Linked DNA regions of Macaca fascicularis. The protein of the gene in region 1 purifies or fractionates together with the protein of each later gene. This does not show direct contact. Links are inferred from orthologs where the notes say so. Each region holds a gene or a part of one and is shown in the gene's direction. Other genes may lie near its edges.

Region 1 (4,144 bases):
CAACAGAGATAAAATTGTTAGTTCCTTATTGGAGCCTGGTTTCCACTGCTTTGGACTCTGCATGATAAATGACGTGTCCTAGAACCTGAAATATTTTATAAAGGGTAATATCTGCAGAAATCTTTTAATTAGCTAAAAGCAGTTTGTTCTCAAGCTGCCCGAGTTATCTTGGAGGAGGAGAGAATCACAGAAAATGTTTGATATTTCTAGTAACCAGTGTTTTCAGTGCATGGGGTAAAGCACACTCCTAGACTGGCCAGTCCCGAAGAGTGTGGCAGGACACCTGCTTGTTTTCCCTGCCCTCTACTATGGTGACATCCTTGCAGACCAGTCTTGCGTGGCTGGCAGACACAATCTCTTTTTCTTGGGTAGAGCATTATCACCGCTGCGATGGAAGGACCTTGTCCTCAGTGCCTCCATACCAGCCCTTTCCAGTGAAACTACTGCTGTCCGGGCAAGCCCTGTGCATGTGCATCATTCCGGGTAGGACAAGACATGAACAGGTCCCTCTTCTTTGGGCTTAAGTAGAAGTTGAGCTCTTCTGCTTTTATCTGTTTTCTTCTGCCTTTCTATTTCAAGAAACCTTCTCCTGTCAAAAGCTTGGTTCACATGCCATTGCTTAAATACTTCGATGGTATGTATGGTGTGTGGGATAACTGAGTGGGAGCCGGAATTGGGGGGTGGGCAGGGCATCCCCACCCCCACATCAAAGGGAGAATGACCATTTCGTTAGAGAATAAAAAGCCTGAGTCTTTATAACTTCTTCAAGCACACATATGCTGGGTCTGGTGGCGTGTGAATGTGTCCCCGCTGTGGTGTGTGGCTGTTTTGCAGTTCCTGTAGACACTGTAGTCTGGGCTCTCATTATTGCCTCTGAAGCTGACAGGACTAAACCTTAGTAAGGATGCACTTGTCTTCCTTGCCTAAGAGCTAGGGGTGTTTTATATATATATGAACTTTTTTCTTTATTAGATTTCACAAACTGCTCTCATTTTCTGGCTTCTTTCTTTCTTTTTTCTTTTCTTTCTTTCTTTTTTTTTTTTTTTTTTTTTTTTTGAGACAGTCTTGCTTTGTCGCCCAGGCTGGAGTGCAGTGGCACAATCTCAGCTCACTGCAACCTCTGCCTCCTGGATTCAAGCAGTTCTCTGCCTCAGCCTCCCAAGTAGCTGGGATTACGGGCACCCGTCACCACGTCTGGCTAATTTTTTTTTTGTTTGGTTTGGTTTTTTTTTTTTTTGGTCGAGACAGGGTTTCGCCATCTTGGCCAGGCTGGTCTTGAACTCCTGACCTTGTGATCCACCTGCCTCGGCCTCCCAAAGTGCAGGGATTACAGACGTGAGCCACCGCACCCAGCCTCTGTCTCTTTTCTTTTTGACATGAAATCTTAAGTTAATTATCTTAAACTTTAAGAACTAGAAGGATCCTTAGTCCAGCACCATCAGTTTGCAAACAAAAAAAAAACCTGTGTCCCTGAGAAGTTGTGACTTTTCCAGGGCCTCCTAGCCAGGATACCAGTTTGGTTTTTATTAGATAGCTAACCGAGTAATACTATTAACTTGACTTCTGGGGTTTCAAAGTATTCTATGACTTGACTGTTTAAGGGAATTATGAGGCCTCACTGAACCTCAAAAGATAATTTTAGATACCATCCTGTTAGCTATAGAGCAGCAAAAGAGCAGTAAAAGACTTGGTTGGTGTTGCCCTTCTTCCGGGTTTGATTACATGAGTAATTGTGTGGATGGTCTCTAAGTTGTATGCTCTGAGCTTTTGTTTTTAGCTTATAAAAGTGCTACTTTTGGGCCAGCATAGTATCAGAAATTAGGTAATTAATATGGGGCAGTTTAGGCTTTAACAAGGAAATGATGGTTATCTTAATGACAGAAATGGTACTGACAAAAGTCCTTTTTTGAACATGTGTTCAAAAGCAAAAGAGAAACTATCAAACTGATAACTCAGTTTGTTAAATAGTGAGATTGACTGATCTGAGAGGCTTAAAACTGATTGCCCTGAAATAGACTTGCATGTTTTGGATGATGGCTTTGGGTCTCCCAGAGCACTTGGTTTCCCATGGTGCTGATTTTTTCTCTCAGGATTAAAGCCCCTTTATGTGATGTTGTTACAGCAGCTCATTGCAACTTCATTCAGCTGCTTGCAAAAGAAGGGAGACTGCCTCTAGGTTCCATGTGTTCTTTCAGGGATGGTATTTTGATGTTGCATATTCTCTTGAATATGTATTCTTCCCTGAGAATTTCTGTGTGACGTGGTGGAAGAAATACTGGCCAGAAATCACCATTCATGGTATGCTTTTGTACTGTCGAAGTGTCCCCTAGAGGTGACAAGACTTGTGATAGTGTTGATTCTAACAAGCATGAGTCTTTCCTCTATTTTAGCACTGTGTGTTACTTACGTGCCAGTAATTTGCAGTTTATCCTTTGTTTCTAGCTAGGTAAGCTGGGAAATAGCATAGTACTTTGTCTGTGTGTTTATCTTCAAAATGTCCCAAATAGCCCTGGGAAAAAGGTCGTGCAGCTCAATGGGGGCTTTCAACTTACAATTTTCTTTGTTTTAGGCTCCATAAAAATACAGACTCACCAGTTCCTGCTTTGATGTGACATGTGACTCCCCAGAATACACCTTGCTTCTGTAGACCAGCTCCAACAGGATTCCATGGTAGCTGGGATGTTAGGGCTCAGGTAAGTAACCTTCCTTTTTTTTTTTTTAGTATATGTCCTGGTTTGGCCATCTGTTTTTTTTTTTTAAAAAAAAAAAAAAAAAAAGGAAAAAAGGAAAAAAATATACTACTCTTGGACAGTATAAAAGTACCCCAAAGACTAAAGACATAACTGTGCCAAACTGTGCCATATAATAAAAAAAAGTCACTTCCCTGAGCCCTGAAAGGTCAGTGTGGGTAGGGTTACCTGGTCGCTACAGCGAGATCTGGGGGCGGGCGTCAGATTAGAGCCGGAACTGGTGATCTGCAACTTCAGTTCACCTTGAAGCAGGTCAGCTGAGCTGAGAGCGCTTGCACTGAGCCCTTCTGCGCTGCTGCTGTTGCCTTAGCGGTCTTCAGCATGTGTTTACTTCGGTTTGGAGTAAATGCTTTAGTGGTCAGCGTTAGTGAGCAGTGGTAATGCATTTTCAGATATGGGAACTGGTATATGGTTGGTTCCCTAGAAGGACACCCTCCTGAAAGCTGTCTCAGAACACCGGGGGCCATGACTAATAAATATCATGTGCTTGCCACACTCCTCCCATGGTAACTAAAGAGAGTACCCAGATATACATCTGTTCTTGAGACTCTAGAGGAGGATGAGTAATTTGTAAAAAGCTGGGGGCCCAAGTCATTCTAGGTCTGACACTCAGGTGCTGTATCAGCTGCAGTTTGAACTAGTTGGCACCATTGTGTGGACTTTAGTTTTGTAAAAATGAATGGTTCCTTCAGGCTCAACATCTCAAGCTGTTTGTTGTTGTTGTTGTTTGTTTGTTTTTGTTTTTGTTTTTTGATTAGTGGTCACTCCACATTTGATGTTTTGACGTGTGGATTTCAGAACTTCTGTGTGGTAAAGCCGAATGTTCCAATTGAATTTTCCCTTTCTTTTCCCCCTAAGCAAAAATGTGGGTTTTCACATATACAGCCATTGTGATTCCAACTGAGACCCTAAGTCATACTTTGTTGTGTCTCTCTTGTGGTTTCTGACACCTCAGTGTGAAGCTGTTGTAGACATCCATAAGAAATAGCCTGCTTAGGAATTATGTGAGGGCAAGGTTTGGCTGAAGGAGAATAGAAGGTGTGGAAGGAAGGAAGAGCATCACACTCCTCAAGTCCCAAATTTGATTCTGCTCCTGATCCTGTGACTCAAATTGTCATTCTCCTTTACTGCTGTGGGGTGTGCTCTGGGCCCGACTGACAGGACATTCTTTGTACTCCACGTATTTATGCTGGTGGGAGTTGTATGGCTAGTGCTTTGTGCTTTGTCTCAGAAATTGTGTGGACTAAATGTAATATGGGCAGTGAATGGGTTTCTTCTGGAAGATGTTAGGCCTGTAGGGTGGTTTGGGTTTTTAAGAGTCTTTTTCTCAGATCACACGAATGGATGTTATAAAACAGGCAATGTTGACACCATACAGTTTCTCCTAAGAAATG
Region 2 (4,144 bases), on another chromosome or scaffold:
TGATCCTCCTCTTCCACCCTCCATCCCCCAGGAAGGTCCCAGGAGATAAGAATTTTTAAAAATTTATTCTCAGAGGAAATATATTTGCTTTAACAGAATGTCCCATCTTCTATGCCGAAATAATTCCATCTGTTATTTGCACCAACTTGTTTTCTTAACTTGTATCACACAGATCAGATTTTTATTCCTGAAGCTCCAAAAAGCTAGATTTACTTTTATTTTCTTTTTAAAATATCTAGAAGCCCTTTTCCCATCATTAAATGAATTTTTGTATCTACATTTGATTTCTAAATGAAATTGTAATACTAGTTATCAACAAATACCATAGCGCTCTGACATTGAGATAAAAGGCAAGTCATGTTATATGAATGATATCAGCAACCCCTACTGGCAGAAACTCAGAATAGTACTGGTAGACATTATGTTTAGTTCAAACCATTTTATCGTTTTATCCATGTTTAGGTCTAATCATTTAAAGTCTGCATCCCACCCCCACCCCCATCCCTCTTAAAAAAAAAGTATGGTCAATACTTAATTAAAGGTACCAATTTATTTTCTATGTGACTAAGACTGTGTAGTCATGTTCAGCTTAACTTGATAATGTTAACCCTGTATGTGATAAAGGAAGGTATTTGCTAGTTAAGAATTCACCCATCCGCCATATTGTAATACTGCCTAACTGGAATTGCTTACTTGTTTTTCACGATGCAGATAATCATACTGATATGATGGAAGTGGATGGGGATGTTGAAATCCCTCCTAATAAAGCAGTTGTGTTGCGGGGCCATGAATCTGAAGTTTTCATCTGTGCCTGGAACCCTGTTAGTGATCTCCTAGCATCAGGGTGTGTTTCTCAAAGTGATACTAAAATGGCTTTTACAAATATCTTACTGAGCATTTTATAAACATATGCATTATTCAGGTTTTCTGTTGTTGCTTATTTGTGGCCATTTTGTCTCTGTAAATGTTTTATTCCTTCATGAAGTAATTGTAGAATTTTTAATTAAACTTACTGTTTCGAGAACGCTTGGGGGTCCCAATGTGTAGAATGGGAAAAATACTGGAAATGAAAATCTGTGATAGTTTAGTTTTTATTTGCCTTATTAATATTCAGATGTAAATATGTTGCCTTGATTCTGATAGTTGAGAATGTCATGAGGATTTAAAATACATTGCATACTTTTATAGGTCTGGAGACTCAACAGCAAGAATATGGAATCTTAGTGAGAACAGCACCAGTGGCTCTACACAGTTAGTACTTAGACATTGTATACGAGAAGGAGGGCAAGATGTTCCAAGCAACAAGGATGTCACATCTCTAGATTGGAATGTGAGTATCACTATATCCATGATGGATATAATTACTAGTATACCTAACCCTCAGAGCCTCAGACTCATGGCACGGTTTGTCTATTTGTTCAGAATTTGGGGTTTTATTAACTAGTAACAACAAACTGGGAGTCGTCACCTGCCAGCCCTCTCCTCCACTGTGGTGTTAAAGACACAAACTTGCCTTAGACCAGGGTACAATGTCCAGCTCTTTAGTGTATCCCGCAGCATCTCCTTGGTTAAATTGTTACTGTTTACTCTGTACTTCGTTTTCCTTAAATGTCAAGTAGATCTGTGAAAATGGTACCTAAATATTTGAGATAATAGGTGAAAATTCTTACCATAATAACAAACAACATACTAAATCCGTAACAACCGAGTTCTTAGTTGGGGGATAAAAGAATTCTATGTAGCAGAAAACATGTTCTTGTTTTTCTCTTTGTTCTGTGAACTGTTACAACTTTATTACCAATTTCCTTTTAGGGATCATTAGTCTAGATAATGTCTAAATTTTATTCCCACTGTAGGAATCTTCTAATTCTCTGATTCTATGTATGATTCAACATCTTTCAGGACAACTTGACTACTCTGACTTACAAAAAACTTTCACTTCATTGTTGATAAATTGTCATCGTTTAGTTGTAAATAATATCTCTTACCTCACCCTGCTAGCCCCCGCCACGCCCCCAAACCTCTTAGATATATTTCAGCATTGCAAAGAATATCTCACGATAGTAGTTCTTCCTCAGCAAATGAATGTTCTTTTCTCTTCTATTTAACAACTTTTGTGGGCTTTCTAAAGGATCTTCTAATTCTTTTCCCAAGGAATGAGATCTATCTTTAAAATCGTTATTCCCGCTAAAGTTCTCAGTTTCTGTGACATGTTTTTTCAGAAATCATAACTGGGTATTTTTAGCATTTTCTTCCAAAATTGCCAGCAGCATGTTTACTCTTCCCCTCCGTATGACAATTCTAAAAATTCCAAAGGGGTTTTGCACATTGTAGTATTATTTACTTGTAGGATCAAGATAGAATTATTTTCTTAATATAGGCCCTTATTGTATCTTAGTTCAGACATCTTATAGCTTTCTTATGCTACCTGGCCCACTGGTCATGTTAATTTAATGAAATTTACAGTTTACACTGAAAAGGATGGTTAATGAATGAATATTGGTTTGTTCAGCTTGGTAGTTCTGAACTGCATTTTATAGTTTTGAAAAGTGTGGGCTTTTTGAAAATGTGTTAATCACGGTAAGCTTGGAAAACATCATCCTCGATTAATGATTCTTTTTCATGGCTAAAGCAAGAGAGCCTGTGAGATTTCTCATCTTTAAAGTATTCTTTTCCTAGTTGAGCAGTTCATGAACTAAAACATTTAGGGACTGATAGTTTAGAGGAAACTTAACATTGTGTAGAATCTGGAAATAAGCTTTTACTGTTGACTTCAACATGGCTCCCCTTCTTCTTCAGATAGAGCCCTAAGGGATTGCCATGTCTTAGCAGAACTGAGTCTGCAGTTCCCAGAACCAGCATTTGTTTTTGTTTGTCACTTAGCCATACTCCTAAAATGGCTTGAGAGATGTGAAATAGGTGATCTTGTTTTGAATGCCCTTACCAAAACCCATCAAGAATATGTCAAGTAATGCAGGATTTCATTCTCCAGTAATGTTTAGTCATTCTAGCAATAGTCTGTTTACTATAATCTGTAACTTTTGCGTTTGCATAGAGTTAGTTAGATCTGTCCTGTTATTACACCATTCATCCAGGCAAGGCGCATAGCAAGGGAATATAAGTTGAGAGAAATTTATATGGACTTTTCCTCCGGTAAAGTAGGCAGTTATACTTACTTCATTAACTATGAAGTCAGCCTGTGCTCTTTTCTGGCTCTTTTGCTTGTGTTGCTCTTTTTATTGGCAAATATTTCATAGTGGGAAGGGATTAATAATAGAAAGGAACATTCAAATGTTTAAGAATCCGATCATTTGAAACAATGATATTGTTTGGATCATACACACACACTTTGTTTTAGACAGTAAAGGATTTAGAGGAATGGCCATATAAAACCTTCTAATCACATTTTAAAGTTTTCCTTTTTTTACTTCTAATAAATCATTCTAACATTATGAATTTGATGTTCGCCCCAATCCACCACCCTACCTTCATTCTTAGTTGTGTGAGTCTGTGAGACTACTTTGGGCACGCATGAGGCGGGATGATGTAGATCCTGGTCCAGAGCTATTACTGTCCGTTGTTGAGCTTTGGATATAAGGCCCCCGTACAACACTAGCTTCACAACAGTGAAAGGGTTTCATAGGCCTTTAGTGGCACTCACAAGTAGGCAAAACTGGCAAGTTTTGAAGCAGAGAATGTCTTCATTCTCTTCTGTACCTGGGATTTAAACATGAAATACTTCAACAACAATTAAATTATAAACCGTATCTAGATTATATAATTAAAGAAATGTTTTTCTCTGGCAGAGTGAAGGTACACTTCTAGCAACTGGTTCCTATGATGGGTTTGCCAGAATATGGACTAAAGATGGTAAATGAAGCATTTTCCTTTTTATTTTGTTGTTGATCTGAAGTTAGAAAATTTAAAGTAATGTTACTGTTTTTCTTTTGAATTTTAGGTAACCTTGCTAGCACCTTAGGGCAGCATAAAGGCCCTATATTTGCATTAAAATGGAATAAGAAAGGAAATTTCATCCTAAGTGCTGGAGTAGACAAGGTAAAAGCTCATTAAGTTCTGTAAAGGTGAATGTATTACAGGGTTTAATTGAAAGCAGTGTTTTGTCTTAGCTGCCAATCACATAAAC

The links.
Region 2: the proteins of MECP2 (region 1) and TBL1XR1 purify together in Homo sapiens (co-immunoprecipitation; 3 studies listed by BioGRID and IntAct, with this or other methods). This does not show direct contact. The link is inferred for Macaca fascicularis from reciprocal best matches to the Homo sapiens genes MECP2 and TBL1XR1.

The regions. Positions count from the first base shown.
Region 1 is NC_088395.1:160,161,378-160,165,521, reverse strand, and holds part of MECP2 (methyl-CpG-binding protein 2), read left to right. Parts: intron 1-372; coding exon 373-483; intron 484-2,569; exon of another isoform or gene 2,570-2,667; coding exon of another isoform or gene 2,668-2,693; intron 2,694-4,144. UniProt on the Homo sapiens protein: Chromosomal protein that binds to methylated DNA. It can bind specifically to a single methyl-CpG pair. It is not influenced by sequences flanking the methyl-CpGs.
Region 2 is NC_088376.1:88,764,553-88,768,696, reverse strand, and holds part of TBL1XR1 (F-box-like/WD repeat-containing protein TBL1XR1), read left to right. Parts: intron 1-711; coding exon 712-844; intron 845-1,188; coding exon 1,189-1,330; intron 1,331-3,806; coding exon 3,807-3,870; intron 3,871-3,958; coding exon 3,959-4,056; intron 4,057-4,144. UniProt on the Homo sapiens protein: F-box-like protein involved in the recruitment of the ubiquitin/19S proteasome complex to nuclear receptor-regulated transcription units. Plays an essential role in transcription activation mediated by nuclear receptors.